4 linked regions of the Drosophila melanogaster genome follow. The protein of the gene in region 1 purifies or fractionates together with the protein of each later gene. This does not show direct contact. Each region holds a gene or a part of one and is shown in the gene's direction. Other genes may lie near its edges. The genes, in order: Gnf1, prod, RPA3 and CG3548.

What was found.
Region 2: the proteins of Gnf1 (region 1) and prod purify together in Drosophila melanogaster (affinity purification with mass spectrometry, with the first as the bait; one large-scale study listed by BioGRID). This does not show direct contact.
Region 3: the proteins of Gnf1 (region 1) and RPA3 purify together in Drosophila melanogaster (affinity purification with mass spectrometry, with the first as the bait; one large-scale study listed by BioGRID). This does not show direct contact.
Region 4: the proteins of Gnf1 (region 1) and CG3548 purify together in Drosophila melanogaster (affinity purification with mass spectrometry, with the first as the bait; one large-scale study listed by BioGRID). This does not show direct contact.

Annotation. Positions count from the first base shown.
Region 1 is NT_033777.3:4,903,592-4,911,153, forward strand, and holds Gnf1 (germ line transcription factor 1), read left to right. Parts: upstream 1-3,030; 5' UTR 3,031-3,122; coding exon 3,123-3,131; intron 3,132-3,197; coding exon 3,198-4,528; intron 4,529-4,590; coding exon 4,591-5,499; intron 5,500-5,557; coding exon 5,558-6,335; 3' UTR 6,336-6,490; downstream 6,491-7,562. UniProt on the Drosophila melanogaster protein: The elongation of primed DNA templates by DNA polymerase delta and epsilon requires the action of the accessory proteins proliferating cell nuclear antigen (PCNA) and activator 1. This subunit binds to the primer-template junction.
Region 2 is NT_033778.4:18,967,953-18,973,796, reverse strand, and holds prod (proliferation disrupter), read left to right. Parts: upstream 1-2,663; 5' UTR 2,664-2,788; coding exon 2,789-3,001; intron 3,002-3,068; coding exon 3,069-3,663; intron 3,664-3,729; coding exon 3,730-3,962; 3' UTR 3,963-4,393; downstream 4,394-5,844. Other genes in the region: Topors (topoisomerase I-interacting protein), read right to left, coding at 1-14, 75-470; CG15107 (uncharacterized protein), read left to right, coding at 1,364-1,552, 1,611-1,968, 2,022-2,206.
Region 3 is NC_004354.4:11,613,734-11,618,704, reverse strand, and holds RPA3 (replication protein A3), read left to right. Parts: upstream 1-2,864; 5' UTR 2,865-2,950; coding exon 2,951-3,187; intron 3,188-3,258; coding exon 3,259-3,360; 3' UTR 3,361-3,608; downstream 3,609-4,971. Other genes in the region: Met (Methoprene-tolerant), read right to left, coding at 1-475, 545-1,837; CG1703 (uncharacterized protein), read right to left, coding at 3,750-4,971.
Region 4 is NT_033778.4:24,596,950-24,603,424, forward strand, and holds CG3548 (uncharacterized protein), read left to right. Parts: upstream 1-2,997; 5' UTR 2,998-3,098; coding exon 3,099-3,436; intron 3,437-3,511; coding exon 3,512-4,031; intron 4,032-4,159; coding exon 4,160-4,663; 3' UTR 4,664-5,418; downstream 5,419-6,475. Other genes in the region: pio (piopio), read left to right, coding at 1-16; CG13587 (uncharacterized protein), read left to right, coding at 1,046-1,484, 1,542-1,884, 1,950-2,142; ATPsynF (ATP synthase, subunit F), read right to left, coding at 2,304-2,548, 2,668-2,746; CG3565 (uncharacterized protein), read left to right, coding at 5,573-5,962, 6,020-6,127, 6,189-6,425.

The DNA of each region.
Region 1 (7,562 bases):
AAATTTAATCAAAATCGGTGTTAAGCCGTGTTTATTCACATAGGCCCCAAGGGTGACATTCGGTGGCGTTTAGCACGTGCAACCGCCGCCAGCAAGGTCGTTGGGTGGGAGGTAGGCGGTGGAGTGGGTGGCTCGGCCGCAACCCTTAATTGCGCGTGTAATCAGTTGGCTAAGGGGGTTGCCCACCGCCGCGGAACAGGGGGAAATCGGTGGAGGGGGTCTAATGCCCTGTAAATGCAACTAAACAGCTTGTGCGAAGCATTAGGGCAAAGGGTGCCGGGGGATTTGACTTCGGGGCGATGTAAAGTGGCGTTGATTATGTGATTGCGATTTGATTTGATTTGATTTGATTAGATTGCGTTGCATTAGCGGAAGATTGATGGCGCATATGTCAAATAACATGTTAAATGAAAAGGCAAGTTGGCATTAGTTGCATTCTCCGCTTTGACATTTATTGTAAAGTGCAATTTGCTGACACGGACTAACAAGCTTTGCATTTTTTCAACATGCATTTCATGGGTAACGTGGGACTTTCTGCTTTTTTGTACTCCTAGTTTTATTATCATCTTAAATCGGCCATGAACTCTATGAAATGTTTTGAAGGTGTGTGTATTTAAGGCAGAGATAGGCGTTACTCATTAAGCTATTATAACTCCCCATATCTGGACTTTAACTTATTTAGTTACCGGACGTCGAACATGAACGCTTTTTCTTGCAGTGTAACCAGCAGCAAGAAGCTCAACTGTATAAACTTTATTTTTTAAGGCCTTTCTGAATTGATCCAAGAAAATATCTCATAAAGATATAGATGGAAATTCGAGATATTTTTAAGAGGTTAGTATCCAGTAATGTATATAGGGCCTCGAAACCTTTGACAAAAATTTATTCGCATTTTCGCAATTTCGCATTAAATTCTACTCTGTTAAAATATACAAAAATGTATTAAGAGTGAAAATAAAATATATTTATAAACCAACAATCTTGCGCTGCTTCTATGTATCTGGAATCTTCTTCTAGCTTTTATAGTTCCTGAGATCTCGACGTTCGACAGACGGACATGGCCAGATCGACTCGTCTATTGATCCTGATAAGAATATACTTTATATGGTCGAAAACGCGTCCTTCTGCCTATAACTATAAACTTTTTTAACTATCATTTGAATAAGGCGTAGTTGCAACTCAAATCAAAACGTGTCAGAATCGCTATTATATATAAACACCGACACTAGACCCTCGACAGGTGAGTGTCCTGTTGGCAGTTACCTAAAGTATATCTGCAGGTGTAAAATATAATGCTTAGTTTATACCATTTAACTTTTAGCCAAAATGACCCAAGTTCCCATTGGCCTCGGCCCAAATATGCTTTAATAGACTAATCGCGAACTGGCTGGCATTTCCTGCTCCGGATCTTAGTCTACTCGCATAGTGATGGCGTTCGAAACGCCCAAGCCCATCATCTTGGCTTATAAGCCAGGATAATACGAATGTTAACAGCAGCAGCAGCGGCTTCTCTGCCCAAAATACATATGTACATAATGCATTAAGCATTAGCCACTTGTAATACTAATAATATCAAATGCTCATTCTAGACTACTTCGTAAGCACCGGCTCAATTATACAAATATAGAACATATTCATACTGTAATAAAAAATAAATCAAAAACCTTTTATTGCAGTCTTCCAATTAAACGCATTTTGAGAAAAAAAAAAAACAGAGAATACTATAGTCGAGTTCCCCGACTTTCAGATACCCGTAACTCAGCTAGAGTGAATGCGGACGCGCAAATTTCATAATTGATTGAAATAATTCAAATTGGCAAGGCAAATAATAAAACGAAGAAAAATCTTAAGTTTTCAAAAGTGGGCGTGGCAGTTTTGTGCGGCTTTGGATACAAATTTAGATCGATAGAACTTTACATGACTTATGAAATTATGAAAAAATATCAAATTCTTCAAAAATTTAGTTTATAGTATATATAGTATAAATGTGGTATACCCTTTTACTCCTCGAGTAATGGGTATAAGTCAATAATGTTGAAAATACGATTATAAGAGTAGCCAGTTGAAAGGTAACTTAATTTTAGGTATATAATGGTATTCGAAGCGTGACAGAAATATGAATAATTATTTTATATCTCAACGCTTCCTTCTATTCCTGAAGTCGCCTTTATTTTCGCCACCCTATTGTGTCAGGTCTGTGTACAATTGTACATTGAACAACAAACTATTTAAAAGAGAATATATGTTGAAGCTAAATAATAAAATAAAAATAACTAAATAAAATAGTAATTAAGTATTCGGCAAAAAATTGAGCTCAGCATTTGAAAATTTTACAGCCCCTCTGATTTCTATCAAAGACAAAAACCTTATATCAGGAGGGTGCCTTCGCTAAAAACAAATATACATATATGTGAAGGATGTCTCCGCTAAAGATGTATTCGCTAAATACATCGAAAATCGCATGCGATATGATCTGTAGATCTGCACTTGAAGTAAAAAATTGGTGAAATTAACATTCATGTAAATAAAATTATAACACGGTTCACGAAATCAAAGTCATCAAAGACAAAGAAATATATAAACAATAGATTTATCAGTTTTAAGATTTGCAACGTGCAGCCCGTTGCCGTCCGAACTTTTTTGTTGGAATATCGATTACAACTGGATTAGATAACCAACTGAATGTAAAGTGGAAAATACTTTTCAATTCCTCGCTACAGTGACAGAGAATGACAAAATTGATTTATTGGTTATTTATCATATTTAATAACACAACAAGTGTTATGTTCATTTAATTTCTTTCCAGTTTTTGTGCCTCTTTCATAAAATTGACTTTTTTCTTTTCTGTACGTGCTTAAAACAATAAATTCTATTTCCTTTTCATTCGCAATTCACCGTTGCGAATTTTTTTTTGCTGCCCAGACGACTTTATACCTTTTGTATCTTGACACACATTTAGTGAGCTATCGATAACGTTCAGTGCTTTTGATTCTTTAAAATACTTATACTAGTTTTTTTCAATCGTCACCGACGCGGTTACACTGGGGATTTCGTGTCTGGTAACACTGTTCCGTATTCTGAAGCTCGCAGCATTAATTTTATAATAATTAATTCCTGCCGTAATGCAACGCGTAAGTTGTGTAGAGACAGTCAGGCACTAGGTGAAAACATCAATTTAACAAAATCATTTGTTCCAGGGCATTGACTCCTTTTTCAAACGGCTGCCGGCCAAGGCGAAAAGTGCCGAGGCCGAAAATGGAGAGACGCCGTCGAAGGCGCCAAAACGCAGGAAAGCCGTGATAATTTCCAGCGACGAGGACGAGGTGGTCAGTCCGCCGGAGACCAAGAAACGCAAGGCTTCGAAGACAGCATCCAGCGAGGATGATGTGGTGGCCGCCACACCGGAACCGATTGCGAAGAAGGCCAGGAACGGGCAGAAACCAGCGCTCTCCAAGCTTAAGCGGCACGTAGATCCTACGGAGCTTTTCGGTGGAGAAACCAAACGGGTGATTGTGCCCAAGCCGAAGACCAAAGCTGTTCTCGAGTTCGAGAACGAAGACATTGACCGGAGTTTAATGGAAGTTGATCTGGACGAGAGTATCAAAGAGGCTGCCCCCGAAAAAAAGGTTCACTCGATAACCAGGAGCTCTCCCTCGCCTAAAAGAGCAAAGAACAGCAGCCCGGAACCGCCAAAACCCAAGTCAACAAAATCCAAAGCCACCACTCCGCGTGTGAAGAAGGAGAAACCTGCGGCAGATCTAGAATCCAGTGTCCTAACAGACGAGGAACGCCACGAGCGTAAACGTGCTTCCGCCGTGCTCTACCAGAAGTACAAAAACCGCAGTTCGTGCCTGAACCCCGGCAGCAAAGAAATTCCAAAGGGATCCCCGGATTGTCTGAGTGGCTTAACCTTTGTCGTAACCGGAGTCCTCGAGTCCATGGAACGAGAGGAGGCGGAGTCCGTGATCAAGGAGTATGGCGGAAAGGTGATGACCGTGGTTGGAAAGAAACTCAAGTATCTGGTCGTAGGAGAAGAGGCTGGACCAAAGAAATTAGCTGTGGCTGAGGAACTCAATATACCCATTCTCAGCGAGGACGGGCTCTTCGATCTAATCAGGGAGAAATCAGGAATCGCTAAGCAGGTAAAGGAAGAGAAGAAAAGCCCGAAGAAGGAGCACAGCTCCGAGGAGAAAGGGAAAAAGGAAGTCAAGACTTCTAGAAGGTCCAGTGATAAAAAGGAGAAGGAAGCCACTAAACTGAAATATGGCGAGAAGCATGATATCGCCAAACATAAAGTCAAGGAAGAACACACTTCCCCGAAGGAGACGAAGGATAAGCTTAATGATGTACCAGCTGTTACCTTGAAAGTAAAAAAAGAGCCCAGCTCCCAGAAAGAACACCCTCCGTCGCCAAGAACTGCCGATCTGAAGACTCTGGATGTGGTCGGGATGGCCTGGGTGGACAAGCACAAGCCTACGAGCATAAAAGAAATCGTTGGCCAGGCAGGAGCCGCCAGCAACGTGACCAAGTGAGTAACCTAAATGTATAAATGGTAGCTTCCACTTTCAAAGTTATATATTTATTATACAGTCACAATTTGAAACTGAAAGCCAAACAGGAGAGGGTTAAAGTTTTACATTATTTTAATTTTCCTAGGCTGATGAACTGGTTGTCCAAGTGGTATGTTAACCATGATGGAAACAAGAAGCCCCAACGGCCCAATCCTTGGGCCAAGAACGACGACGGCAGCTTCTACAAGGCGGCCCTACTTTCGGGACCCCCTGGAATAGGAAAGACCACGACGGCGACTCTGGTAGTGAAGGAGCTTGGCTTCGATGCGGTGGAGTTCAACGCCTCCGACACACGCAGCAAACGCTTGCTCAAGGATGAAGTGTCCACGCTGCTGAGCAACAAATCCCTCTCCGGTTACTTTACAGGGCAAGGCCAAGCGGTCTCCCGCAAGCATGTGCTCATAATGGACGAAGTTGATGGCATGGCCGGTAACGAGGACCGTGGTGGAATGCAGGAGCTGATTGCCTTGATCAAGGATAGCTCTATTCCAATTATTTGCATGTGTAATGATCGCAACCATCCAAAAATTCGATCCCTGGTTAACTATTGCTACGATCTGCGATTTCAGAGGCCTCGCCTCGAGCAAATCAAAGGGAAAATAATGAGCATCTGCTTTAAGGAAAAAGTAAAGATATCACCGGCCAAAGTGGAAGAAATCATAGCGGCTACCAACAACGATATTCGGCAATCCATTAACCACATTGCCCTGCTGAGCGCCAAGGAAGACGCTTCCCAAAAGTCAGGGCAGCAGGTTGCCACCAAGGATCTGAAGCTGGGACCCTGGGAGGTGGTGCGAAAAGTCTTCACCGCGGACGAGCACAAACACATGTCTTTTGCCGACAAGAGCGACCTTTTCTTTCACGACTACAGCCTGGCCCCGCTCTTTGTGCAGCAAAACTATCTGCAGGTCCTACCACAGGGAAACAAGTAAGTCTAGTTTACCTAAGCCAAGGGCGTACCCATTCACCAACTTCACTCTTTGCAGAAAGGATGTCCTGGCAAAGGTGGCAGCTACGGCAGATGCCCTAAGCTTGGGTGACCTTGTTGAAAAGCGTATTCGTGCGAATTCTGCTTGGAGTCTTCTACCCACTCAGGCCTTTTTCAGCTCGGTCCTTCCTGGCGAGCACATGTGTGGCCACTTCACTGGACAGATTAACTTTCCCGGGTGGCTGGGCAAGAATTCCAAGTCTGGAAAACGTGCCAGGCTGGCCCAGGAGCTGCATGATCATACTAGGGTCTGCACCTCGGGCTCAAGGCTATCAGTGAGGCTGGATTACGCCCCCTTCCTTCTGGATAATATTGTGCGACCTCTTGCAAAGGATGGGCAGGAGGGTGTGCCCGCTGCTTTAGACGTTATGAAGGATTACCATCTACTCCGTGAGGATCTGGACTCGCTGGTCGAGCTTACATCCTGGCCCGGCAAGAAATCCCCACTGGACGCAGTGGATGGGAGAGTAAAAGCCGCTTTAACGCGATCCTACAACAAGGAGGTTATGGCATACTCCTATTCCGCTCAAGCAGGCATCAAAAAGAAGAAATCAGAGGCTGCTGGAGCGGATGACGATTACTTGGACGAGGGTCCGGGCGAAGAGGACGGAGCTGGTGGCCACTTATCATCAGAGGAAGACGAGGACAAGGACAACCTAGAGCTGGATAGTTTGATCAAAGCCAAAAAGAGGACAACTACGTCAAAAGCGTCTGGTGGATCCAAAAAGGCTACATCTTCCACGGCTTCAAAGTCTAAGGCCAAGGCCAAAAAGTGAATGCACTAACGATTTCCTATATTATATGATGATTTTTTTGCCATCAAATTTCCCATTTGTAAGTAGTTTTTGTTTAAAATCTCATGAATGGCCGGCACTGGCCGACACTGTTTATACTGCTGAAAATATATATTTACCAATAAAATATGTGCTTGAATTGCAAAACATTTTATTATAACACTGAGTGGCGTAGGTGTAAACTAAAAAGGGAAAAATTGGTAATAAAATAATTGTCTGTATGAATAATACTACGAAAGAATTGAGATGATGATTTTTTAATTGATCAATTGTTTGCTTTAACTGTATAAGGATCAAGAGCGCGAATATGTCAAGCTCAAATTTATTTAAAAAAAATTGTTGGTAACGCGATCAGTGATGGTCACTCCATGCTCTATAATTTAAACTAATTTGTACTATCGTACATTTACATTTGTGAAAAATACGTTTACAATTTAAAAATTAATTTAAGTCTTTAATTTATACTTAATTAATTATTATAAATATATTATAACATAATAACGTTTTTGGCCTGAAACAAATCGATGATGTTGCGAAGCACAATCGATAATGCAGCAATCGATGTTTCGGCAGCCCTGCTATCTCGTGGTAGCGCCAAAGAGTATCGTATCTGAGTTTTTTCCCCGATGTCAACGCGAACGGATGCACGTACTGGGCAGCGGAAAATGCAGTGAAAATTGCCAGAAAAGTCAGGGGACAGCATGTGCGGGCAAATTCAAGCGAAGCATTCGATTAACTGCCAGAGTGCGCGATCCACTTGATTTTCCGGGAATACCTGCCACGTTCGACGGGTTTCGCGTTCTATATTTTTCGCACTGAAAATTCTCGGCTTACGCGCGCCTGTGTGTGTGGGAGTGTGTATCTGTGTATCCGTGTAAAGGGCGCAGCTCGGCGAAAAACAACACCCATAAATGAGCGAAGCCAGCCTGGCGTCGCGCTTTTAATCAAATTAAAATTAATTGTAGTTCAAAGCGTCGAACTCGTCCGCTTTTTTTTGTTTTTTGCGCAACTCTCTGAAAATTCAATAAGCACGTAAATTCCAGCACACACACAACGACTTCAACCGCGCACACACACAGATACAACGCTGCCGAGCTGGGCGAGCGAACGCGAGAGCGAGAGCGAGCGCGCGATAGAGCAGGCAAGTGCAGACTCCGATTCCCTCCCACACCCCCTGCCCAAGCACCCACCCCATTGCTGTTGTTGTTG
Region 2 (5,844 bases), on another chromosome or scaffold:
CACTCGGGCTTTATCTGCAATCGAGAATAATTAGATGGTTAAAATAATGGTTTACTCGCCTGCGGACTGGTTACCTTGCTCCACTCGCACAGGCACTTGAAGCAGAACTGGTGCATGCACGAGTCCGTGAAGCACTTCCTCCTGCAGCGGGACAAGCAGATGGCGCAATTGGGCGGCGGCGAGTTGCGCTCTACTGTTCCGTTCTCCTCCGCGGCGGATGCACTGGTGCCCGGCTCACCGATGGCGTTGGCATTATCCGGGCCAGCGGATACAGGTTCCTCGGCCTCGTTGTCTCCCGACTCACTGCCGCTCTCGGTGAGATCAGCAAACTTAATGGCCGCAGCCGGTAGCGTCCGGCCTCCGGCATTGGATCCTTCCAAACCAGGCTCCACAATCACCGATGCGCCCAACTCATCCACTCCCAAATAGGGCACGTTGGCGGCAAGAGCTCCGGGATTCTCCTCCGCCATTCTGGCGACTATATAGCGGCTATATGGGCTGTAAAATCGGCCGTAAGATGGGCGAGAACTCGGGCCTGAAGTTTTGTGTCTACTCTGTCCTCCTCTCTCTCTCACTCTGCTCCTCTCGCCCTCTCTCGCTCGCACTCGCTGGCTGGCACGCTACTCTATCATCTGGTTCGCAATTCGGTTCTCAATCCTCGTTTTCCAGCGGCCTTTTCCGGGCTAGGGGACGCATTATCCGTATTCTCTTGCGGTCTATGTGGTGGTCAGTGGCCTGTTCTGTAAAATAGCACAATTTTCGGGCCAGAAATCGCACTATATCTCAGTTAATTTTACACCTGAAAATGCAGGAAACTTGATTTTTTTGACCACTACGGTGATACCGTTCGTCGCGTACAGTTAAATGCTGCAGACCACGGAGATTGATATACTTTTGAATTACTTCAGAATACAAATTTTAAATAAAAAAGGTTTGGAAAATATGTTGAGTCAGCGGTTCTACTAGCTGTTCTACCCTCTGATTGAACTTGATTGAAAAAGCAGGACTAGCTTTGTTACAAAAATTACGAAATACACAAAAAATGCTTAAAGAACTAGACCAATTTATTTTATAAATTGAAATGTGATATTTTGAGAAAAATAAATATTTTTAGATGTATTACACAATCTTGTGAGATTGTGGCGCGGGTAAATTACAAATTCCAAGAAACTTCTTTTCGAACCTAGGAGAACCAAACAATTATTTTGATATTTTCTAAAATAGTTTGGTATTTCGGTTTTGGTATTTAATTTCGGAGCCTTAATTGTTTGTGTTATCGATAGCTCGTTGCTTTATTGCCTTTTTGTGGCGTCTGTTTCAATTTGTTTGTTTTCAATTGTTGGTCATAATTTGGATCCCCAAAATGAATCGACGCAACAAGCGGACGTCGTACTACCAATACGAAGTATACCTAGACTTCATGGAGGAGAATCCCCCGATGTCGGCCAACAAACTGAGTCGCACCCAGGACGGCAAGAAGTGGAAGGAGCTCAGCGATCTGCTAAACAAGTGCTCCACGGGTCCCACTTTGTCGCCCGAGGAATGGCGAAAGGTATGTTGTAACCAGTTGGGTATCGAGTGTACAAGCCCACAGTGTGTCATGCTTATAGCGCCTCAACGACTGGAAGAACAGCACGCGCTCCAAATACCGACGCAGCATCAACTCGGATGACAAGAGCAATGCAATGACTCCTCTGGAGAACAGAGCCCTGCAGATCTTCTCCTTAGAACCGAATTTTCGCGAGGGAATTTCGATGCGCCTGCACGAACTGATGGAGGAGCAAGAGGAACTGGATGAAGAAGAGAATGAGAACCTGGAGGAGTTGGTGGATGAGGAGGAGGAGGAGGAGGTGCAGTACCAGCAGTTCATAGCAGAGCCTCACGAGCAAGCCAACCCAACGATCATCAATGGTCACAGTGCCGCGAAAAAGCTAAGGCTCGATGGTTCCAGTGAGATTATCTACGAAGGTGGGTAGACGCAAATCTAATGTAAATACTAAATATCCTATAAAGGGACATAGCCTTGATTTCAGTCGCGGATGTCACATCTGATCAATCTGCCGCGAAAGAACCGTCTGCCTTCTATGGAGAGAAAATCCAGGAGCAGCTGAAACGCATTTCGGACATACACGAGGCATCGCTGCACTTTAAGATAGCCCGCTTCAAGTACAATAATCCCGGATTCGAGTACGTTCCGGAATTATAGCCCATGCTAGCCATGCACATTGATATAATGTATAATGTAATATAATATGTGAGCTCAGAGGGACCTGCTGATTTCGCCTCGAATTAAAAGCCGCGGAACGCTCAATAAGTAGTACAGTAGGCATTCGTTGAAAACAAATTCTTGAGTAGTGTGTACCATATACCAATTAGTCGTTTTTAAGACTGTTGTTATGCATATCGTTCGACGAAATACTTTTTGCACATATATTTTGAAATGTATTATTGATTTATATGAAACCGCTAATAAATATTGTGACAAATCATTTCTGAATCCGCATGTTTTTATTGCAACAAAATTGAATTATTTATTGCACATCTAGCCATAACTATCGCATGGCATCTAATTGCTTTTTTGGCTTCCCGCCAGATGCGCACCACTGGCGTGCCGAATGCAACCCTGCGCCAACAGCAACAAAATGCAACTAGAAAATCCCAAACGCTAAATGCGTAAATTGTTTGTGAACATCTCGCATCGCTTGGTGGCGTCGATTTGCATTTTAGGGCTTTTGCCAGCTATTTAAACACGGCATCGAGCACGCAGGCACAGAGCAAGGATACCCGGATGAACGGCAAGATGGACCGCCGCAAGAAACGCACCTCATCGGAGCAGTACCAAATGTACATCGACATGATGGAGAGCGACCCCATTTTCGCCACCGGACGAGTGCCGCGCGACTATGACCTGAACTACTTGACCAAAAAGTGGAAGGAGCTCTCCGACCGGCTAAACAAGTGCAGCTCCGGACCCACACTGACGCCGGAGGAGTGGCGCAAGGTACGAGTACCACTACATCACCCAAATAATGTTACCTCTAATCGCGAATTTCCTGCTCCACATACAGCGCCTAAACGATTGGAAGAACACCACTCGCTGCAAGTACAGACGCAGCCTTCTGTCCACGGAAAAGGACATCTCGATGACCTCCGTGGAGACGCGCGCTCTCGATCTCTTTGGCAAGGTGCCCACCACCGGCGGCGAAACGATGCTCAATCTGAAGTCCGAAAAGGATGAGCACGACGACGAGATGGAGGAACTGGGCCAGCGTACTTCGGTGGCATTTCAAAAGGAACTTCAGGCAGCCGTTGAAGAGGCAATCAACGATGAGGTGGACGAGGAGGAGATGGTGGAGGAGCATGTCGATCACGAGGACATGATGGAGGAGAATCTGGCGGAGACCGGCATCACCGCGTCCACAACGGCGGTCAATACGGGTGGCGGCACCTATCGCACCATCGTCGTGGACAACACATCCTTCGAGCATGTCGAGGAGGATCCCCAAACGGTGCAGCCGCACGCCGTCGAGTACGTCACATCCCGCAGGCCTGCTGCCCCCGTCATCAATCCGGGCACAGCCTCCTCCGGCAATAAGCTGATCAACGGCGAGCTGCCCGTCAAGCGGATGCGCACACAGCCCAGGGAGCAAATTATCTACGAAGGTAACTATGCCGTTTTACTTTGCTTAAGTTTAAGCAGTTAACATCACGTTTTTCCATATCTTTCAGTTAAAAATGCGCCGCGTTGCATTTCAAACATGCAGGCCGTGCCGCCGCTGCACAGTACAAAGCTGGAGCGGGAACCCAGTTCGCTGACAAGCGCGCTGAGCAGCAGCGATGCCCAGCAGATCGCGCACCAGCTGAAGCGACTGGCCGACATCAAATTCGAGACACTGCAATTTGAGATTGCGCGCTTCAAGTTCAACAACCCGGGCTTCCAGTACGATCCGCCGTCCTTATAGTGTCCCAAGCGGCAGGGCGAGATCAGTGGGTCTAAGCAGTCGGCAAAAACTCCAGCACCAGCAGAAGCCACGGCGAAAGGATCAGCATTAGCAAAAGCAATGGAACGAGTCAAGTCAGCTCGAATTGTATAGGTCTTTTACGAATGTGCTCTTTGGCACTCGAACGTTTTCTAGCTCTCCAAGTCCTGCGCTCCGCCGGAACACACACAAAACTGTAACTTATAGTAGCCAGATTTAAATTGACTAGTTTAAAATTGACATAGAATTCTATTGTGTAAACAGTTATTTTCAACTTTTCAAGCACTTCATCTACGATATCCATATATATGAAATAGGCATAAAATTGTAATATCTAAAGTGAAAAACAATTGGACAAGTAATTTTAACGCGTTGTATGTAAATGTTAAGAATAAAGTTTACCAATGATAAATATGCGCCGCACAGACGTGCTCCACCTTTTGCCTGTTGTTGCATTTTTAGAGTTTATTTATGACGCCGTGGCCAGAATCGAAGCCAACACGAAAAGTCCATTAATCAAAGCTAGGGAGATGGCGTCGACAACGCGTATATGCATTGTGGCTCGGCTTCGCTTTGGCTTTTAGTTTGGGTCATTTTAACCTGACCGCCAACTAGTGGGCGCACTTTGTAACTGTCAGCAGCGCCTGGAGGCATCGATGCGAAAGAAATCACTTGTGGCTGTTATGGTCGCCCGATGCTGATGCAACAAGTGCCGATCCAAAGTCCTCGGCTGCTCCCTGCTCCACCTACTCCGCTTGGATAACTGCAATGGGCAATAGATCATTTGCGGGCCGTGCGCTGCGAATCATAAATTACCGAAGACCAAGGTGGAGCGTTTGAGGGAACAGACCTCCGCCATGGGACGACGCACGGTGTTCCGTTAGGAATCGTTGGCATCGCGTTGATAACTGCACAACACGTCGTATGCTTAATCTGTGCTCTATGTAAAGGTGCACTCAACAAAATGACCAGCTAATCGAATTCCTGATATTTGTGTTTTATCTCACAGGTGAGAAATTGCATCTTAGGCATATTTCTTGATATTTCAGGCTTGCTCCTTGTTGGTCATTGATTTTTTTGAGTGCAATGTGGTGTCGCCTGTGTGGGTGCCGCTCGCTCTTTGATGAAAAGCCCGCTGGCAAAGCTGATTAACCTGCACACACACCTCGGCGGGAAATGAGTGTCTGGGACCCAGATGTCTTCTTCTCACATGGCCATGAAATGGAGGCTCCATCTGCGACTGGGACTGCGACTGGAACCAAGTTTGAGGAACTGATGGGTCGTCGCTCAGAGTGCATGCCCAGTCCATTAAGCAGTTCGTGTTGCACTCGTTTCGCTCTGCCATCCACGGCTATATGAGTCCATGGATTTGGGACTGGATATGTGGGTATGGTGGGTATGGGTATGGGTATGGGTATGGGTATCGTTATAGGTATGGGCCCAGGGTCTAGGCCTGGAATTGGCTTTGGTTTTGGGCTTGGGCCAGGGCACACATGACGGCCAGCGTGCAGAATTGACCCCATGGGCGGGTGCTATAAAAATTCAGCAAAAGAAACTGCACAAAATAAAAGCCGACCAGTATGTGAGATGCTGGGATACGTAGATGGAATACCCTTCGACTGAAGTGAATTGTTTCTGAAAAAGACGAAAGTGGCCATTATTTAATATTTAATTACTTTTAGCGGCATGATATTATTAGTACCCCATGAAGGATACGAGTATATGTAGAAACAGCCAGTAGAGAGCCCAGTATGTTGTCCCTTCTCATGTATATTGATGAATGAATCCGTTTCGTCATATTTTTAGAATGACTAACTCGTAACTGACAAAACAACGCCGAAGTGAACTTTGCCATCCTGAATTT
Region 3 (4,971 bases), on another chromosome or scaffold:
GAGTTAAGGTATTTGCTGGCGAACTGTAGCCATCGTCCATTAGGCTTTCCATGCCCTGGCCGCCAACCGTCTCTGCTGAATCCACACTCTTCTGTAGGTTCTCTATTAGATAGAGGACAATTCTCTCAAGTTGCTGCGGTGCCTGCGAGGCGGGCAAATCGGGACTGCTGCTCTGCGTGGGCATCTCCGCCTTGATGATTGTCGAGAATTTCTCCTTCATCTCCTGCACCTTTTGCCGGCCCGCCTCCTCATCGAGCAGCGTGTTGACGCACAGAAAGGAATGCACCTTATTACTGCCACGGTCGACCTCCAGAAATCCCTTGGTGTGCAGGTAAATGAAGCGCCCGTTGCGGGACAGCAGACGGTAGCAGCTCTCGCCGTAGTCACTGTTGCAATCGTACATTTGTCGAAGGGCCACAATCACCCAGCGAACGTCGTCCAGGTGCATGAAACAGAAGGGACTAAGGTTGCGCACCTGTTTCGAGTGGAGAGTACACGATTAGTTGTCGTAAGCAGTTCAGAGAGATGATGTTAATATACCCACCTCATCCTTCATATATCCCGCCACCAGACCAATCCTTTGATCACAGTCGATGATGCTGCCGTCGATTAGATGCCTCGTATGGTACTCCAACTGATAGGGTTCTGGCTGTCTGTAAATGGTCAAGCCCACTGTACCCTCCGTCTCCTCAGGCGGCCGTTCCTCTCGCAGCACCCTGGCCATGGCCACCAGGACAATATCATTGCCGCTAATCCCGTGCAGCGCCGCCTGGGCAATGGCATCGTGCTGGGGCGGCACCGTCGCCGCTTCTGCTGCCACTGCTGCAGCAGCAGCCAGCATATTGTTGTTTCTCGAGCGTCGTATCAGCTGGGAGACAATCGGATAGTTGGCAGCGGCACCTCCGGTTAAGGAGGAGTCACTGCGACGAAAGCAGCCATCGATCTTAACCCGCTCGTAATGACGCGTGGCCTCCGCTCGCGTGGAAGCCCTAGCCAAGCGGACGGTAAAGCAGCGCCGATCCATGCGTAGTCGGTCATCAATGGTCGCCAAATGGGCCATTCTCCGCGGGCTGGGTGTTCGTCGGTTGTACGGGTGATCCTCGTCATCGTCCGCCTCTCCCTGCTGCCGACCCAGACGGTGTTCCTCCGTCTCCATTTCCTCCTCCTCCAGATCACTGCCCGAAGTTGAGGCCGACGTGGAAGTGGAGTGCTGCTGGGGATTGTGCCCCTGCTGCTGGTGGTGCTGATGCTGATAGAACAGGGTCTCTATATCCCTGGGTATTAGCTGCTGTCTTAACAGATCCTGATCATCGGGATGCGTGATCTGCAGTAGATTCTGGCCATACAAATCGGACTGACAGTGACCCAATAGCTGCTCCACGCTGGTGGATACCAAAACGATTTGGCCACTGCAGGTTAGGGTGAGGAAGCAGCAGTCCAGCAGTTGCATTAGAGTGTCCGTTAGATGCAGACTGGGATTGGGTAGATCTCCGACAGGTGAGGCAGACATACCCGTTCCCTTGAGGCCGGTTTTCTTGCGACGTCTGGAAGCGGACTTGCCAAAGACATACTGAAGTCTCAGGCCATGGGTGGCGAATCTAAGGACGGCGGTTTTGTCCAGGCGACGGGAGGATTCGGCTGCATGTGGTACCATGGTGGCCAGCTCCTGGATGCTGGCATTAAGCTTATCCCGTCGCTGTTTTTCGGCAAGGTTACGGGCCTCCCGTCCATTCGCTGGATCTGAGGAGCTCCCACTTCCCGATCCCGATCCCGATCCCGATCCTGTCGAGCCAGCGGATCCTGTGGAGCCCGTGTTGCCCGTCTCTGGTGCTGCCATTTTGGACTTTTTGGGCGTTTTCTGGAGTTACTGCCTCCTTGTTTTCCACTTGTAATCCTCGATTTATGGATTTTCCCCTTTAATTGGCGCCTTGCGGTAAATGAAAATCGTCACTCTCCATAACAGGGTGTACGCTCCGCACTTCTAGAATTGTTATTATGGAAATTTTTCGGCTAAAATATATTTTTTATTACTTTTGCAGCTTTTAGTTTCTTATTTTTGGCTGTTGTCTTGTTTTTTTTGCTGCTTTTAAAGTTTTCAAGGTCTCGCTTATGCTGTGCTGTTGTTTTTGTTTTTGCTCGCCTCCCCTCTCTCGCTCACTCTCCTTCGCTCACTGACACACACACACACACGTCACTCTCACGCAACGTACATATGTTTTCTCTTTTCGCTTTCGTACTTTTCCACTTGCTTTTAGTCTTATTATTACTATTATTTGCTTCCCTATTTATTTATGCGTTTCGCCTTGTAGTTTTTTATTTTTCGTTTTTTTTTTACGTTTTGATTGCGTTGCGAATCTGAATCTCCTGCTTATTGTTGTTGCTGTTGCTGGTGGCGTTGTTGTTGTTGCGATTTAATGCCCGCAATAAGGAAATTCGGAGGGCGGCGGTCGTTTTAACAACGCACTTGCTGCTTGCACTTATTTTTGTTTATACTAAGTGATTAATTGTTTATTTGTAACATTTATTTTATAACAATAAACATTGGCCAGTCTAAAAACTATCGATACATCGATGTAACTGGTTGTCGTACTAAAATTCGCACGTTCACACCGGACAAAATATCAGAAAGATTCGAACATCTTGTTCGCTGTCGATAACATTGTTGTAATACATGTAATCTATCAGGTCTTTTTATAATTCTATTATAAATTATTTTTATTAATTCTTATTATAATACATAAGTCCACAGTAATAATGTAATAACTTTTGATGTTACAATAAATCCATAAATATTTTTGCTACAAAATTCGAATAATTTCGATAGCAGACGTCATGCAATTTTATTATCGATTAGCACGCTCGATAACTATTGGCGCTCTTTCTTGTTTACGGCATTTCATTTTCTGCTGAAATTGGCTGTTTTTTGAACGTTATTAACTGAGGAGTTATTATGGATGCCTTTGATCCACGCTCGATTATCAACGGCGGCATGCTGAAGCAGTTTTCCGGCCAAACCGTGAGCATAATGGTTCGCGTGGAGAGCGTCGCGGGATCCACTTTGCTGGCCAGTTCCACAGACAACCACAAGCTAAAGATCAATCTGCCGGGTGAGCTGGGCGCCGCCGAAGGGGCCTGGGTCGAGGTCATTGGAGTGCCCCATGGTGCGGACACCCTCAGGGCCAAGGAGGTGGGTGCACTCAATCCATGGAGTCATTTATTTCAATGATCCCAAACCATTTGCCCACTATTCATTTGCAGGTCATCGAGTTTGGCGGCGAGAACATCGACTTCGATAAGGATGGCTATAATGGATTGAGCCACCTGATTAACAATGTCAAGGCCTTCTATCGCAGCGGCTAGGATGTCCACAATTATATCTAAGAATTAATATTATGTACTCTAATGTTATTTTTTCCATTTTTTTGGAGAACACTCAGAGCTGGCATTAACTTTAAATATAAATCATCTATCTACATATATTACGAGTACAATTTACGGGTGTTTTAACCAGTTCCACGTATATTCTACAACAAATACTTAATACCCACAATTTAATAACATAAACAACACATTCTTAAACGCTCTTGTGTAATAACATTTACTTCCACAATTTGTTATTGTATATATGTTGGTATAAAAAGACTAACTAGCAGATAATCAATTCAACAGTTGAACAATTAACATAGGGCGAGCCAGCTGACGAGTGATGACCAGTTGCATGGACTCCAAGTCCGTATGCAACTTGAGGGTTATTGCAGCACAGCCGCATTGGCCACCACGCTAGGATTGTTGACCACCTCGCCGAGCGAATCGAGAACCTCCTTTCTGTAGTCATCGAACTCTCCAACAATCTCGTTGATCGTCTGATCCTCAATTACGTAGAGAGTGCAACCTGTTTCACGGATCAAACGCTCGTCGTGGGAGACGATGATCACGCCACCCTCGTACTCGTTGATTGCCTCCGCCAAGGCGTCGATACTCTCGATGTCCAGATTGTTCGTAGGCTCATCGAGAATTAGTACATCCGGCGCACTCAAGCATAGCTCAGCGAGGGCCACACGGGCTTTCTGACCACCGGACAGATCCTTCATCTTGATGGTGTGTGCATGACTGACCAAACCAAAGGAACCCAATGCCTTACGCGCCTTTTCGTGGGGCAGATTGAACAGACGCTGCAGGTACTCTGCAGCCGATTCCTCTGCCGTGAGATGTTCACCTGAGTGCTGATCGAAGCGGCCCACATGAAGTCGGTGATTCTTGCGCTGCTCACCCTCCTGCGGTTCCAATTCACCGAGCAGCAGCTTGAGGAAGGTTGATTTGCCCACACCATTGGGTCCCACGATGGCCACTCGACTAGTTAGATCAATGCCAAAGTCAACCTTGATGAACAGCGGTTTCTGGCTCGGAAAGGCGAAGGTGACATTGTGGACACCCAGAATGGGTGGCTGGAGCTGCGATGGCTCCGGGAAGCGGAACTTGACAATATATTCCTTGGGCCTGGCCAACAGCTCCTGAGGTCCCTCATCCTCGTCCTGTTTCTGCTGCTTAGACTTGTTCTTCTCCTGCTTGCGTGTGAGCGATTCCTTCTGCTTCTTTTCCGCTGCCTTCTTCGACTGACCGTGGGCCTTCAGCTCGCGCAGGCGCTTCTCCTGCTTCTCGTACTCCTTGATCATCTCGCGGCGTTTCTGCACATACATCTTCTTGAACATGGAATAGTTGCCCTTGTAGTATTGCAGTTTCTTTTGATCCAAATGTATGATCTCGTTGCAGACGTTGTCCAAGAAACTCTGGTCGTGGGACACGATCAACAGGGTCTTCTTCCAGCCCTGCAGATAGTTGTCCAGCCAAATGACAGCATTAAGATCCAAATGATTGGTCGGTTCGTCGAGCATAAGCAACGTGGGCTCCAGATAGAGAGCTCTTGCTAGGGACACTCTCATGCGCCAGCCTCCGGAGAATTTGTTCGTCGGC
Region 4 (6,475 bases), on another chromosome or scaffold:
CTCGCACAGCAGCTAAGCGCGGGAAGATGAGGAGGATGGATAGTCCCCAGGAGGAGATTCTAAATTCAACGTTTCCAAAATCCAAAACACTCAAAGTGTTAAAAAATCAGATGGTTCCCAGGAGGAGATTCGGTCGCGCAGGTGCGCTGCGGTAGTCAACGATTGGTAGAGTTGGAGCCACTTAGTTTTAGGATGCCGGAGCAGTCAGACCAGTCTGGTCCAGCGGCTGTTTCTTAGATTAAGCCTAGCCTAAGTTGCAAATGATGTGCAGAGATTACCGGGCAATGGCCGGGGTCCATCCCCATTGCCCGCTAATGTCGCAGAGATCTTGGTCCACATCCACATTCGGAAATGGACACCCATCGAGCTCTGTTCCGCACAGTCGGTGTTGGACTCGCCCCCCCTCCTAAGCGTGTTTCTACATCCCTGACTAACCCCATTCCCAGAACAATCTGTCGAACTAACAACGAATGCAGCAGCCGACGCTCAGGTGATATTTGTACTCGTATCTACTTAATGCCTTACTATGAATGCACTACGCGTAATTTATTTACTCTTCGGATGACCAACTGCCCTTCTAGTAGAATTTCCTAAACACTTTCTTGTCATCGATTTACGTACTTAATTCCCATGCGGCAGGAGTTCTAGCCCTTATTATAATTCAGCCGTCCGGATCAGCCACCTATTATACATGGTATATATATAACATATATGAAGGCAGAAGTGAACAGTTCTCAAACTAAGCTCAGCATTTGCACCGCTTCAATCGAGCATTCCGACGTCCACTGCCAGGATGCAACCAGAATGCTCCTCTGGAGCCGTACAAGCCACGCGATTCAATTCATACTGAAGCTCAATTTAGTGTAGCTCTAAGTTAATATTAATCAATGAACAATAAACTCAAACTGACCCTAATATCTGAAAGTGAGTGACACTTCCTGTCGTGGATTACAACACCAAGCGGCACAATTTCAGTGTGATATGTCAGTGGAGATATGATCGTAGATACGTGAGATTCGGATTCAACTACTCCGAGTTACTTCCAATGGCGCCTGCCGTCCTGTTTCTTGTGTTTACCTACCTGATGGGTGTGTCGAGGGGCTCCTTGAACTGCCCCACTGGGAAGTTGAACCCGCTGCAGTTCCACCTGGTTCGCCAGTGCCAACGAGCTGCAGCTGATGAAGCTCTGGCCCTGGAAAACACATCCTCTCTGAAGGAATGTGCTGATCTGGCGCATGATATGCGTGGGCTGGCCTTGAACTACGCTCCAGGAGGACCGAAAAGGAGGCTAAATGCATTTGATCAGAGGTCCTTTGGCAAGCAGGGCGACAAGGAGCAGCGCATTCGAAGTCGTTTGAGTGTCTTCGAACAGCCAGGGGAGTTCTTCAACTGCCACGTCCTGAAGTGTCCTCAGAATAACACATTTTCAGGGATGGTCAATGACAGTCGCTTCGATTACTACAGCTTATATGGAAGGCCAACAGGTTAAATGAAGTATCTAGCGTATCTGTTTGGTTGAATAATTTTGTGGTTCTTGCTAGTCGTAAGGAACTACAGCTGCATACCGGAGGTTGGGCTGTTCGTGGTGTATACTCAGCCTAGTGCCTACTTGAATGCCTCACTGACCTGTTCAAACTCCTCGGAGTTCACTGGTAGTCTGGCCCACATCGCATCCGAACACAGAACCAGTTTATTGGCCCAATGGCTAGTGGAATTCAACAGGAAATCACAGTCTCTGGCAGAAGGTAATGTCTATCTGGCCTATGTGGGTTTGGCCTACAACAGCTCAACGTCATTGAGCCCACTGGACTTCAGGAACTCCCAAGGGGAGAGCTTGCAGTGCTTTCTTTACAGAGCCTGGGATGGTGGTCATCCTCGAGTTGGGTAGGCTGACAGTTTATTAGGTTAGCCGCCAATGCTATCTTCTCTAAATCTAACCGAATTTGCAGTGGTGATCTGGGCAACGCCAGCTGCGTGGCCTTGACGCCGCAGGGAACCTGGCAAACCCTGAACTGCGACCGGGAGCTGCCCTTTATCTGCGAAATCCACACGGCCCGGTCAACTTTCGGCTGGGAGCAGTCCAGTTCCGAGCTGGACATCGGCCCAAATGCAGTCTTCGAGTGCGGAAGAGACCGAGTCTGAGTCTATGGCAGCATGGATATTCGCAGCCGTTTTATTCACTTAAGCAGTTTTCAAAACACAAAAGCCAAATAGATATAGTTTAGTGGTGATTGCCCGCCTCTCGCACGCCTTGTGGAAAGTGTAGAATCTGTTGCAGATGCAGGACCACCGGGCAGCGCCGCTTAGTGGTACTTGTAGTTCCTGTGGTGCTTCAACTTGGTGTAGTTAATCAGATAGAAGAACGTCATGCTGGCGACGGTCAGCTGGAAGAAGGGAGCGATCCCGGCGCGCTTTGGGAACACGTACTTGTGCTGCCAGCGCCACCAGGCACGGCTCACAGCTCCGGCCACAGCGTTGGGGGTCTTGTTGCGGCGTCCCAGCCAGGCGCCGATCTCGCCCAGCTTGACCTGGCCGAAGGGCACATCGGCTGCGGATCGGAGAGAGCGGAGAGGTCGGAAAGTTGTTTAAATTATGTAAAACGCTGCACATTTTTGGGCAGTGCAAATGTGCTCTGTGCCTGCCGCAAAAATTACGTAACCTGCTCACCTTTGCCGTAGAAGCGAGCGGGGTCGTAGGGCCCGTGCACCTTGGGGTTGTACTCAGCTGGATAGTCACCGAATGCCATCGCGCTGGTTTGGTTGAGATATATTCTTAAATCGGATTCTTATGAAACATAAAATTACGCCTGCTACTTACTTCCTTCGATACTGACAGTATGACCAAAGCGGCGAGAGCTGGGATTTTCATCGACCAATATACCGAAATATACTATGTGCGAATTTATTGTGTGCGTCTCCGCTAACAGGGAGGATGTATTCGCTACGTCATCGATACAGCGAATATATCGATGCCCGATGCACGATGCACTTCTCACATCACTAAGCTCCAGTATATACAGAAATCAAATAGGATTTTTGCAAGCCTGGGCATTCGAATCAGAATCCAGCCAAAGCGAATCCAGTGTGTAAACAAAAACAATGAAACTGGAGGAGTTGCTGACCAAGGGAGCCTCCTCTCCGCCGGAGGACGACGACGAGGACGAGAAGGTGGAGCTGAAGCCGCAGAAGTCAAGCAGCGCCACCGCGGACGAGGGGGCGGAGAACGCGGAGGATGCGGCCGAGGATGCTGGCGAGAAGGAAGGCGCGGGTGGCAAGAAGAAGGGCACGCGCAAGAAACGCTCCCTTAACTGGGAGGAGGCGGAAAGGGGGCTGCTCCTTGAGGTCATCAAGTCCAAGGTGGCCTTCGTGGAGAACCGGAGCGTGGACGCCAAGAGCATAAAGGCCAAGCGTCTGGCCTGGTCGCAGATCACCAAGCAGTAAGTTGCGCCATTGGGCAGTGGAGCTCGTCTTATAATGGCCCTTCACTCCTTCCATTCCAACCCCCCATCCAGGTTCAATGCCCTTAACTTCCGCCATCGCCTGCTGGAGCAGATCCAGGTGCAGTGGCGCAGCATGAAGAACTCCGCCAAGCGGGAGCACCAGCAGAAGCATCCGAAAACGGAGGCCCTGGAAGGCATGCGGATGATCGAGTTCCTGGAGGAGATGCAGAAGGATCCGGTCACCTCGCGCAGTCAGACACGCAGCGCGAACACAAACGGCGCTCTTAAGAAGGAGCTCATGGACATCGACGAGGACGAAGACATGCCGCTGGCCGCTCTGCCCAACTCTACGAACGCCAGCGAGGACACGCTGCAGACCTCCACAATAGCCATCCCCTCGCCGCCGCCCTCCACTGCTGGCGGAGACGGGGACTCCCAGCAGGAGGGAAATCCCGCCCAGCTGCCAGCCCAGCGACGCAAGCGGACCAAGGCCAAGCAGTCGCCCTCGGGCGCCAAGACAGAAACGTCCGGCGAAACGGGGGAGGAGAACGAAAAGGGCGTAGGCCCACCACGAAAGCGGCGACAAAGGAATGTGAGTTTGAACACAAGCCGCAAGTTTATTTATTATTATTAATTAAGGTTTAGCTGAACAAGTTGCAAATTTTTGTGAAGGGGAATCTTAATCTTTCTTACTAATAATACTATCTCATCGTTAACCAGCTCTCACAGGCCCAGTCGCTGCTGTCCGACGAGAACGAAGCCTCCACCAACGCAGCTCCGAGCGCCACCCCAGTTGCAGACACAAATAGCCAGTCCTTAGATTTGGTCGCCGCCACGGAGATAGAGCAGAAGTACAAGCAGGACCTGTTTAGGCTGCTCAAGCAGGCCCGTCTGGCCGAAATCGACTACGCCCGGCGGGAACACGAGCAGAAGCTGCGCTTCGAGCAGATGGAGCAGGAGGTGAAGATGGCCTACTACCGGCAGGAGCAGGACCTCAAGCTGCGGCACATGCGCGAGGAGCACGACATCCGGCTGCGGCAGCAACGACGGGAGCACGAGGCGCGCCTGGGGATCTACTCGCTGAAGAGCGGTGGCCTGAACGGAAGCATACAGGATCAGAGTTCAGCAAAGTGCAATGCCAAAGCGGACTACAACAATGTCCACGAGGTCGGGCCATCGACCAGTGCGGAGGGGGCGCTGGCGCTCAATGCCGCCTGCAACTAGGGGCGTGGCTGTTGGCCCATATGCATATACAATACGAAGAGAGCCAGCAATTAGGGTGTAAGGCATTTAGAGGAAACATCAACAGTACTTTAAAATTTAGCTTGAAATATGTTTAGCGAAATGTAGCTCTTCCGGTCAGCCAGAGTAACCGGAAACGGAAACGTAAACGCCGGACGCGCATACAATACTCATCGACACACTCAAGTTGCCACTCGGACGAATGGACTGTTGTTTATTGTGCAATTCGCACGAGACGAACTCACAGGCATTGCATTTTCAAGAAATTAGTATTACATAATTGTATCCGTATCTGTTAAGTACTCCGGGCGAAGAGATCAATTCAAAATGCGGTTGTGTCGTCGAAAAAAAAACAAACTCGAAAATACTCATGCACAGACTCTGAATAAGTTCCCCTTTGCAGAACGCAATTTACTCATCAGTCAGTATTCTCTATGGCCACTGTATTATTTTTATACCTTCATTTGTTAGCTTTAAGTTTTTTTTACACAACTACTACTTATACTTGTGCTGCCACCAGTTGGGCTGCCGTAGTTGCAGATCAATGTATCCATTGTCCATACATTGCGAGAATCTTTTATAATTCGTCTAAGCATAAGTTACTGTACGTCGTGTTGTATAGCGCTGTAATATCCTGTCACCTGCTTCTGCTTAATTAATACCCTATATCGGGCGAGAGCAAGGTACGATTAAACCATTAGATAATGAAATACAAATACATAGTGTATAAACAGATGAACGACGTGCGTTTAAAGGGGGGTTCTCCGATCTCTCAGTCCCCGAAACAGGAATCAAAGTGGGCAACTCTGCAAATGCTTAGTATTTAAAAATCAAGGGTTCTATCAATATATTTCATCCACTTGAACTTTTAGAAAGCTGTGATAAATCGAAATGAAGGACCTGGACGGCTCCTTGGACACTCTGGAGAATGCCCGCTTCAACTACGTGTATATGAAGGACATTGCTCGCCTGGCAAAGGACTCGATCTTCTCGCATAACGAGCTGATTAGCATTGTAATGCTCTACCATAAGTTTGTGCTGGTCAATGGGCCGAGAGCAAAGTACATGACCATTCAGCAACTCTCTGCGCTGATGGAGCTCTTGTTTGAGATCGTGGATCGCGATCTCATTGCGACCATTGTGTATAGAATAGCCCATACACCAGGTTCCAGGCCTCCTGACTTCTTTTCCGACAAGCATATACACTTGGAGTCCTTTGTGCGGCTTTTCACCGTATACTTCACCAAAGATCTTCAGCTGAAAATGGAATTCGCATTCTCGGTGGGCAATTCATAGTATTCATATGAAATTAGCCTAGACCATTTGCTTACATTGCAGGTCTACGATAAAAGCGATTCCAAGCAGTTGAATGGCGAGCAAGTTGGGTTCTTCGTCGGCAAGTTCTTTGAGAGCGAGGATGAAGACGAATCCATTGAGCTGCGCTTGGTGAGGCACCATCCCCTACACTTGTTCCATTGAAACACTGACACATTTCGCATTCCTTCAGGACATGAAGGAGATGCTGTTCCTCAAATTCGACTTGGACAAGGATACCAACATTGGGGTTGATGAGTACTACGAGGTGGTCCGCCGACAGCCCATGCTGCTGGAGTGCTTTGGTCGCGTGTTTCCCCCGAATCCCCAGATGGAGGTCCTTGCGCTGTGCGCCAATGTAATGTCTTGGTTTGACGATTCGCCCAATCCCAGGATTATGATAAAACCAGACGGCGGCAAGGCCAGCTAGCTAACAGGACGTCCAGGAACGCATTTTTATCTAACCAGATACTTAAATTG